Linked DNA regions of Canis lupus familiaris. The protein of the gene in region 1 interacts with the protein of each later gene in a biochemical or structural test. Links are inferred from orthologs where the notes say so. Each region holds a gene or a part of one and is shown in the gene's direction. Other genes may lie near its edges.

Evidence for each region.
Region 2: the proteins of SERPINF2 (region 1) and PLG form a complex in vitro, tested with the Homo sapiens proteins (2 studies listed by BioGRID, with this or other methods). The link is inferred for Canis lupus familiaris from reciprocal best matches to the Homo sapiens genes SERPINF2 and PLG.
Region 3: of the proteins of SERPINF2 (region 1) and ELANE, one has a biochemical effect on the other in vitro, tested with the Homo sapiens proteins (2 studies listed by BioGRID). The link is inferred for Canis lupus familiaris from reciprocal best matches to the Homo sapiens genes SERPINF2 and ELANE.

Annotation. Positions count from the first base shown.
Region 1 is NC_049230.1:45,825,175-45,827,872, forward strand, and holds part of SERPINF2 (alpha-2-antiplasmin), read left to right. Parts: coding exon 1-161; intron 162-650; coding exon 651-793; intron 794-2,670; coding exon 2,671-2,698.
Region 2 is NC_049222.1:50,051,633-50,055,282, reverse strand, and holds the end of PLG (plasminogen precursor), read left to right. Parts: intron 1-2,419; coding exon 2,420-2,565; intron 2,566-3,184; coding exon 3,185-3,346; 3' UTR 3,347-3,611; downstream 3,612-3,650. UniProt on the Homo sapiens protein: Plasmin dissolves the fibrin of blood clots and acts as a proteolytic factor in a variety of other processes including embryonic development, tissue remodeling, tumor invasion, and inflammation. In ovulation, weakens the walls of the Graafian follicle.
Region 3 is NC_049241.1:58,268,269-58,272,116, reverse strand, and holds ELANE (neutrophil elastase precursor), read left to right. Parts: upstream 1-1,440; 5' UTR 1,441-1,460; coding exon 1,461-1,530; intron 1,531-1,661; coding exon 1,662-1,818; intron 1,819-2,153; coding exon 2,154-2,295; intron 2,296-2,738; coding exon 2,739-2,969; intron 2,970-3,062; coding exon 3,063-3,311; 3' UTR 3,312-3,329; downstream 3,330-3,848. UniProt on the Homo sapiens protein: Serine protease that modifies the functions of natural killer cells, monocytes and granulocytes. Inhibits C5a-dependent neutrophil enzyme release and chemotaxis. Promotes cleavage of GSDMB, thereby inhibiting pyroptosis. Promotes blood coagulation.

The DNA of each region.
Region 1 (2,698 bases):
CTTTGGTGCCAAGCCCATGAGCCTGACCGGAAGGAAAGGGGATGATCTGCTAAACATCAACCAATGGGTGAAGGAGGCCACAGAGGGGAAGATTGAGGATTTCCTCTCAGAGCTGCCAGATGACACAGTGTTGCTTCTGCTCAATGCCATCCACTTCCAGGGTGCGTTCCCCCTCTTCTCTGGCCCTCTACCCCTGTGGCCCCTATTCCTGCCTTGTAGGCTGAACTGGGCTGCAAAACCTTTGTTCTGAGGGTCTCTCTTTCTCCTCAGGGCTGGGTCAGGAGGCAGGGAGCTTTCTAGGTTGTGGCTTGGGGGAGGGTAGGAAACAGGTAATGGTGTGCCAGTGAGGGGCCTCAGGAACTGGATGAGAGAACCCTAGGAGGAAACTGAGTCTGAAAGGATTGAGGGTGGGGTTGGGGGTGCTCCTGGGAGCATGACAGGACATAGGAAGAATGCAAGCCCAGATTTCAAAAATGCTGCAGGGAAGAAACCTCAGATCAACTGGGAATCAACTGGCACAGTGCCCCTTGGGCTTTTGACTTCTACTTTTTGTCCCTTGAATGGGTTCTGGGTGGGATGGAGAAGAGACTAGTGGTGTGGAACCCACCCCTGTCCCAGTCTACGTGACCCCTGCCCTCTGCTGGATATAGGTTTCTGGAGGAGCAAGTTTGATCCAAGCCTCACCCAGAGAGACAGTTTCCACCTGAACGAGCAGTTCACGGTGCCAGTGGACATGATGCACGCCCGCACGTACCCCCTGCGCTGGTTCCTGCTGGAGCAGCCTGAGATACAGGTCACCCTTGACTGCCCAGGCTGGGCCTGGCTGCTGGGAGGTGGGGCAGGGGGGGCAGGCTGTGGGACAGGTACAGGGGTGGAGGGGGGTGTGCCCCACCTCCCTTGCAGTCTTGTCCCTGAGACAGGTGGCTCTGGAAGGTCACATTATGCCCTGATCCAGAGGGACTGAGGTTCCAGGCTCTTTGAAGTTCAAGAATTTGACAAAACTATATTAGGCATTTGCCACCAGAACACACTAGCACAAGGGAGACCAAGTCCCTGCTCTCAGGAGGAAAGACACACACAGTACACGGACAGACATAAATCATGGAATAATTTCACATAGTATAACTGCTATGAAGGAAAAAAATAAAGTGATCAATTAGTGACAGGGGAAGGTATTTTATTTTATTTATTTTTTTAAAGAAGTTCTTTTTTTAATTTTTTTTATTTATTTATGATAGTCACAGAGAGAGAGAGAGAGAGAGAGAGAGAGAGGCAGAGACATAGGCAGAGGGAAAAGCAGGCTCCATGCACCGGGAGCCCGACGTGGGATTTGATCCCAGGTCTCGAGGATCACGCCCTGGGCCAAAGGCAGGCACTAAACCGCTGTGCCACCCAGGGATCCCTGGGGAAGGTATTTTAGATAAAGTGGTCAGGGAGCAGTCTATGAGGAGGGGCCTCAAGTGGAGAACCAGATGATTTTTGGTCAGAGGGGTTTATTACAAGGGCCCATGGATTGGTCAGGCTGCAAAGGAGCCACCCAACAGCTACAGAGCCACTCAGGCCTCAGCATCCTCGAGCCTGGGAGACGTGATCTGACTGTCACAGTGCTCCTTGGAAGGGAGGATCTGGTTGCAATGGATTTGTCAGTAACCTGCTGGAACATTCTGATTGGATAGAGTACTATGCCAAGCGGTCTCAGGTGAGGCCTCCCTTGCTTCTAGCCTAAATGTGGTCCTCTTGGCTTGAGCATGGACCCCTGGGCCCATCCACTGTGGCAGAGATGGCAATGTTGGTTAGTTTCCCAAGGCAGCATGCCACAGGCCTCAGCGACTCCTGAGAGGGGCTGTGGGGGCAAGGCAGACCCTTGGAGCAGCGTCCAGCTTCTCTCGCTTTCACCCCGACGGGCAGACTGTCTTGTTCACCTCCCCACCTGTTCTCTTTGTGCTGCTCCTGCCCTCCAGGCTGTGTCCTGCCCACTCTTTCTTCACCCATCCTCTCTGTCCCTGGCCTCTGCCCTCCTCTTCCTCACACACTCTGCAGGCTGACCCAGACAGCCAGATGTGGTGTTCCCCACCACCCCCGCCACCCCCAAGGTTCCTGCTCCCTGGCTGCTCTGCCTAGAGACTAAGAAGTCTCACTTGCCAGGGATCATCATGCCCAGTGCTTCTCATACTCAAGTAGCTGCAGAAACCCCATTCACATGACATCTTACCTCAGATCACAGTATCATATACACCCTAGGTGAAGGTGTGGGGGGGAGAACCACCTGTTGCAGTGGCTCCTCTGTAGGACCTAGGGTGGTTTGAAAACGAACAACCCAGTCCATTGTACACGTGGAGACACTGAGAGGCAGAGCTGGTTACAGACGAAGAGAGGGAAAGTCCCCCCTTTATTGAGCACTGCCCATGTGCTGATACTCCACTAGAAGCTTTAAAAGGGTCTCTCTCTCTCTTTTTTTTCTCTCTCTCACATGTCAACCTACAATGTGGGCAGGCAGTGTTACTCCACTTCACAGGTGAGGAAGTGGGGGCTCAGGGAGGCTGAACACACACCTGAGAACAATGGACTGGAACTCCTGCTCCATCTGTCTCAGAAGCCTATGCTGGCCCAGACCCCAGCTGGTATGGGCACCTTCTGGCCCTCACCGCTGTCTCCTTTCTTTCTCTGTAGGTGGCTCATTTCCCCTTTAAGAACAACA
Region 2 (3,650 bases), on another chromosome or scaffold:
ATCTGTTCCACCCACCACCCACGCTTTCCTCACCACCACCCTGTGCCAGGCTCCCCCATCTATGCTGGCCTCACCCTCACGGCCCTGGGAGACCATTCTCAGTATATGCACTGGACCAGGAGGAGTCAGCAAGCAGATGTCCTGCCTGTTAATGGATTTTCTTGGATGTCAATAATAAGCTTCTCAGTGGGAGCACTCCTGTTCTCCCCTTTGGTCTCCAGGCTTTCCCTGACTTTGATATTTCAAGGCAAGGAAAGCATTCAGGCCCAGGGGCTCATTCGGGTTCACCTCGCATCAGCTTTCAGGGCTCCTACTTCTCCCTGAAATCAGGGCTTCCTCCTTGGTTCACCTTCAGCCTCCCCGCCCTCAGAAGTGCCATCTCCTCTGTGGCCACCAGATGGCAGCACTTCTACACAGACCACATCGATTTCCTGTCAACTGGGGGTAGATTTTGTCACCAGCATCAGGATGTAGCTGGCTCAGAAAGCAGATGCAAGAGCAAGACGTTTGGATAAATTAATTTTCAGCAAAACATTCTGAGAAGGCTGGTCCCTCCATACAGACTCAATTCGAGTAGTGCACCCCCCCACCCCAGCCAATGTTTCCTTGGTCACTTCCTCCACCAGGCCTCTGCCCAGCCAGGCCTGGGACAAGCCTCTCCTTCCCTCTTATGTGCTCCTGTCAACTCTGGATCCAGTGTGAGTTTTCCAAACTCAAGACAGTTATCCAAATGTACTTAAAGTCTTTGGAGAAGAAATAGCACCTCATCTCTTGGCTGTTCCATGCTGGCAAAGATTTTTTTTTTTTTTTTGCAAAATGCATTAAAACTGGCCTTGCAGAATTGGAAAACTGATTTATTTGTGAAAACACGGAGACGTGCCCGGGTGTGTCTATCTGGAAAAGCAGCATTTCCTCTGGCAGGTTTGCAAGTGTTCCATTTTGATTTGCCAACGTGAAAAAAAAAAAGTAGTTTTTCACAAAAGAAGAAATACAACGAGTAAAACAAGCACACGAGACAGTGTTTACTCCTCCTGATTGGAAAAAGAAGTGCAAATTAGGACATGAACTAGGACAATTTCCACCTATTTTATTAGCAGGTACTTAAAAAATGTTAAATACTCAAGAAGCATGGAGCAAAGTGGCCTTTTTTTTTTTTTTCTAGTGAAATTTTACATTGTCATACCCTTTTAGGAAAAATTAGGCAATGTTGACTGGGAGCCATAAACATGTCTATATAATTCCTGGGAAAACAGTGTTAAGAAAATACTAAGGAATATAAATAAAATGCATGAACAAAGATGTGGAAAGTTGGAAGCTGCTGTAGGAGCCCAGGAGCAGGGGAGTGAAGACTTGGACAATGACGTCACAGACCTAGTTTCAAATCCCAGCTCCTCCAACTAGTTGCTGGGTGATCTTGGGCAAAGTGCACGGCCCCTCCCGGTCTCGGTGACCTTCTCTGTGCGACAGGAACGAACAGAAATATCCATTTTGTGCAAGGGTTAAATGAGATACATCACCTAACACACTTGTGCCTGAAAAGGTTAATTCTAGTACATGATCGCCATTCTTTATGTTGTGGTCAAGTATGTATATAATGTAAAATTAGCTATTTTAATTGTTTGAAGAGTATAAGTCAGTGGCCTATAGTAGTCGCCATGTTGTGCAATCACCACCACTGTTTGCAGAACACTCCCCTGACCTTCAAAAGGAAACCCCACACCCCTGAAGCAGTTACTGCCCATTTTTTAAAAAATTTTTTTGTTTATTTATGATAGTCACAGAGAGAGAGAGAGAGAGAGAGAGAGAGAGAGGCAGAGACACAGGCAGAGGGAGAAGCAGGCTCCATGCACCGGGAGCCTGACGTGGGATTCGATCCCAGGTCTCCAGGATCGCGCCCTGGGCCAAAGGCAGGCGCCAAACCTCTGTGCCACCCAGGGATCCCGGCCCATTAAAATACTAATTATGAAGATTGTAGTGTTCTAAAAAAGCCCTTATTATATACTGTTGTGTAAAAACAGGATATAAAATTGTGCTATATGATATAAGTAGTAAAGAAAAAAAAGCATCTGAAAGTGAATAGATGTTATGGTAACACTTGTATTTCTCAATGTCTCTTTCCTATTGAAAAATGTATCTTTATAGTTAAAAAAAAAGAAACAAAAATAACAACAGATACCCCAAAACACTGTAAAGAAACTCAGGTTATTAAATCCAGATCTTGGGAACATGAAATTTTATATATCTATACCTCCAAGGGTTAACATGAAAAACATTCTGGTAGTATCAGGAACTGACTTCTTGCTTTATACAACCTCGTGGACAACCAAGAGATCTGTCCTTGCTGCTCTGTTGTTCTAGAATTTTCCTTGTGGGCATGTTTTGGATCCAGTAACCATTTCTTTAATCTTTTTAAACACAGGCACGTATGGTGCGGGGCTTCTCAAGGAAGCCCAGCTGCCTGTGATTGAGAACAAAGTGTGTAATCGCTATGAGTATCTGAATGGAAGAGTCAAATCGACAGAGCTTTGCGCGGGGAATTTGGCTGGAGGCACAGACAGTTGTCAGGTAAGAACAAAGTCAATCTTCTGCTGTCCTGTCTTGGCCTCTTAGATCTTTCAGCCCCCAAAATGGCAAATTCAGGAAGGCTTTGTCAACTGAAGGCCGTAGTCCAAATGCTACCCAGAAACATTTGAGGTTTGTCTCTGAATTCTGATTGAGCTCACCTAAGGGGATTTCTTGGTGAGTTCTAGATCAGTTGTAAGGGAGTAGGTGAGTACCATCACTACCACAGCCCCCACATCTTCTGGAGAGTATGCTGGTGGATGGCCTTTCTGGTAGAGAAGTGAGGGAGAGTGTGAGACAAAGACCAACTACACCCCCTTTGAAATTGCTCTTGGATTTACTCTGCATAAGGGAAGCCCCAAGGCAGGAAGGGGTGAGTACCATATTCACAAGGGAGCTGTTCCCCAGCAACACAAACTGGTGCGGTTGTGTTAAATATGCTTTGTTAGGTGCTGAAGCACAGCAGATATTCAAATAATATATTAGTAAGTTCCTTTCTAATTGGAAAAGAATGTTCAAATGCTGGGGAAACTTATACTTGGATAATAGAAGGATGACATCCCATAACAAAAGGATGGTGGTTTAATCCTCACATGGACTTTTTTTCTCTCTCTCTGTATAGGGTGACAGTGGAGGACCTCTGGTTTGCTTCGAGAAGGACAAGTACATTTTACAAGGAGTCACTTCTTGGGGTCTTGGCTGTGCCCGTCCCAATAAGCCTGGTGTCTATGTTCGTGTGTCAAGGTTTGTTACTTGGATTGAAGGAATAATGAGAAATAATTAGTTGGATGGGAGACAGAGTGATTCATCAACATACCTAGAAGCCAGAACACGGGTAGGGAATTTAGCATGCTCAGAAATAATTGACAGTAATCAAATCAAGACACTGTACTTATACCATCTACTGCCAAACCTCAACGTTTTTTAGTATTATTGTGGATAAATGTTTCCCGTGCGTGGACTGTTGGATTCTGTAATAATAAGTGACACATCTATAACATTTATTGAAAATAAACTCTGTACTTCCTTTAAGTTTTTTTTGAACTTCATTGGTTTCGTGTTCTTTGTTTATCCTACCAATTTTAAGT
Region 3 (3,848 bases), on another chromosome or scaffold:
GATGCTGACGCGTATCAGGAGGGTGCCAGGAATTTCCCGAATTTCCCAGGAGCCCAAGGCAGGGAGGTGGTTTCTAGACAAAGCCCAGGGGGACCCTTCGTGCCCAGGGAGGGGGCAGTGAGGACGTGGGGGGGGGCGTCCACGGCCCGTGACGGGAACGCAGACCCGCAGCTGGAAGGCCCCTGAGGCTGCTCCGGAGGGGTCGGACCCAGAAGGGGAGGGGGCCGCGGTGCCGGGGGTGGGGGGGCAGCAGTCCCCACACTCGAGGTCCCCGCGCCCCCAAGGACGTTCTTACTGTGGCCTGAGTGACGCCGGGTGAGGTGCCCGCATCCCCGGGGTCCCGAGTGGACGTAGAGCCCCGCCGGCCTGCGCCCCTCGCGGCGGCCACCCCCCTGCCCCACAGGTGGCTAACGGGTAGTGACCCTCGAGGATGCCACTTTGTCACCCATGTCCGTTTATCCTCATTTTGCCCCCAGAGCCTGTGGCTCACGCGCATTGTAGAGACGGGGACACGGAGTGCACACGGGTCCAGTCTGCGGCCTGCACGGGTGCAGCAGGCGAGTGGCCACCGCAGGAGAGTCCACACACTGCACCCCCGCGACATGGATGCGCAGAGTACACAGGGGTGCTCAGTAGATGCAGCTGGGGGTACGCCTCCAGGGACTCGGCTGCCCCCACTCCACCCACCAGACCCCCCTCGGGGGCTTACAAGGCTCCAGGGACCTTCAGGGACGAGGGTGGGGGTCGCGCCGGGAGGGGAGGGGCAGGACGGGGCGGGGGGCATGGGGCCCTGGGACCCTGGGGACACCGAGCGCGGGCTCCGGGTGGCAGGGGCATCTGCCCAGCCCGGACAGTGGGGGCCCCACGGTGGCCCCAGCCTGGGCGCCCCCGGATCCGTTGGTGCCTTCCCGAGCCTCGAGCCAGTGGGACGTTGCCTCTTGCGACAGCAGCTGGCGGAGTCCTGGGGGAGGCGGGAAGTGGAGCAGGGGTGGGGGGGATGGGGGAGCGGGCCTGGGGGACTGCCGGCCGCCCTCCTGCTGTGACCTGGGGGGCTGGGGCGAGCTTGCATCTCAGGTGGGGGCCCAGACGCCCTGCCGCCCCCAGGGGACATCGGGGCAGTGCTCGCAGCCCTGGGTAAACCGAGGCAGCCAGGGGTCCCGCCAAGGTCCGTCAGGCGCAGGGTGCCGGACTCAGTGACGTCACAGGACGCCCCTCTGAGCGTGGAGGTGGAGGTCGGCGGCTCGCCCCTGGACGGCCCGTCCTGCGCAGCCCTGGGGACCCGCTCACAGTGACAGCCTGGGAACGTCCCGCCCTCCGGGCCTCCCGCCCCCGCCTCCCCTCACCCCCGGGGGGCACAGGAAGTGGGGACACCTGGCCCCTCCGTGGGGCAACAGCAACGGCCAGCGGGGCCTATAAGAGGGGCGGGGGGCCCGGGGCCGCGACACCGCCACCGCCCGGCCATGACCGCCCGCCGAGTGCCCGCCGGCCCTGCCCTGGGCCCACTGCTGCTGCTGGCCACGCTGCTGCCCGGTGAGTGGGCGCGGCCGCCCGCACCCTCGTCCTCGGTCCCCTGATCTCAGCTGAGCCCGCGAGGAGCCCTGGGGCCCGCGACAGCCACGGGCCGGGGTCCCCCGGCGCTCACCGCCCCCGTGTGTCCTCAGGCCCCGCTCTGGCCTCGGAGATCGTGGGTGGCCGCCCGGCCCAGCCCCATGCATGGCCCTTCATGGTGTCCCTGCAGCGGCGTGGAGGTCACTTCTGTGGTGGGACCCTCATCGCCCCCAACTTCGTCATGTCGGCGGCCCACTGCGTGGATGGCTTGTGAGTGCCCCCGGCTCCCGCCGCCTTCCCTGGAGACTCGTTTGCACCTCTGTGTGATGGGGACACGGTGACACCAGGGCCCCGAGGTCCTCCCAGGGCTGCCCTGTGCCCCCCGTGCTCCCCGTCCCCTCCCTCTGCTCCCGTGTCCTCCCCGTGCCCTCCCCGTGCCCCCCGTGCCCTCCCTGTGCCCCCCCGTGCTCACATTAGTGCACCTCCCCTGCCGGGCCCAGAGGGTGAGGTCCGTGCAGACCCTCCTGGGCTCGGGGGGCACAGCTGAGGCCTGGGGTGTCCCCACCGCCAGGGCCACTTCGAATCACGCCGTCTGTTTGCCGCAGGAACTTCCGGTCAGTGGTGGTGGTGCTGGGGGCGCATGACCTGGGGGAACGCGAGAGCACCAGGCAGTTGTTCGCCGTCCAGCGGGTCTTTGAAAACGGCTTCGACCCCGTCAGGCTGGTGAATGACATCGTGCTCCTGCAGGTGAGCTGGGCAGGGGCGCCTGGGGGTCGGGGCGCTGTCCCTGCCACGTCCCTCCCGGTGCCTCGGCCTCCACCGCTGGACGGGAGGACCCCCTCCCCCCCCGGGGCTCTGGGAACTGAGGTGGCGCCAGAGGCGCTGAGCCGCGGCCCATCAACAAACTTGTAATTCGTGTGGCCGAGCACGTGGACCGGGAGCCTCTAGGATGAAACCCTCCCTCCCCCACCGCTTGCGGAGTTACTATTCCCTGGGAAGGTTCTAGAACAAGGGCTGTCTTGTCATTGCTGCTGCCCACGGTGTGTGCCATCGAGTGCCCACCGTGTGCTGCGTTCAAGGCTCGTCCGGAGATGCTCAGAGCCCCTGTGCTTGCTCCCACTGCGCATCTGGGGAGACTGAGGCCCAGGAGGGGAGGTCATGACCCTGATGCCCCCACCCACCCCCCACAGCTCAACGGCTCGGCCACCATCAACGCCAACGTGCAGGTGGCCAGGCTGCCCGCCCAGAATCAAGGCGTGGGCAACGGCGTGCAGTGCCTGGCCATGGGCTGGGGCCAGCTGGGCACGGCCCAGCCGCCGCCCAGGATCCTGCAGGAGCTCAACGTGACCGTGGTGACCACCCTGTGCCGCCGCTCCAACGTGTGCACGCTGGTGCCACGCCGGCGGGCCGGCATCTGCTTCGTACGTACCCCGGGCCCCCGGGTGCCCTCCCCGCGCCCCCCTCGCGGCCCCCAGCGCCGACACGCGGCCTGCCAACCCCGTCCGTGTCCACAGGGGGACTCCGGGGGGCCCCTGGTCTGCAACGGGCTGATCCAGGGCATCGACTCCTTCATCCGCGGCAGCTGCGCCTCCGGGTTCTTCCCCGACGCCTTCGCCCCCGTCGCTCAGTTCGTGGACTGGATCAACTCCATCATCCGCCGCCCGCCCGCCCTCCCGCCCGCGCGCCCCGGCCAGCAGGACCCCGAACGAGGCGCCGCCCGCGCGCCGCCGCCCGCCCCGCATCGCCCGCGTCCCACCCAATAAAGCCCTCCCTGGTTGTGAGAACGTGTCCGGGTGTTTGTGGCGGCGCGGCTGGGGCGTCTCGTGAGCCTGCTGCCCCCAAGGGCGGCCAATTCAGGGCATCGGGGAAGGGGCGCCGATTGCCGTTCCTGGTTCCCAGGCTCACGGACGGAACCACGGCAGCTGCTGAGGCCTGCGCTGTGGCAGGTGCGCCCCGAGGGCCCCCGGCTGGCCCTCTGTGTCCCCGACAGGTGACGAGGTACAGGTCCAGGCAGGGGTGAAGCCGCACCCGGGAGCCCACGCTGGAGCCCCAGCTCTGTGACCGGTCAACTTCCCTGAGCCCGTTTCCGTTAATTTTTTTTTAAGTTTTTAATTTTGTTTATTTTTTAATTTTAAATTTTCTTTATTTTTTAAAAGATTTTATTTATTTATTCATAAGAGACATACAAAGAGACAGAGAGGTTGAGAGAGGAAGACCGGCAGAGACCCAGGCAGAGGGAGAAGCAGGCTCCGTGCGGGGAGCCCGAGGCGGGACTCGATCCGGGACCCGGGGTCACGCCC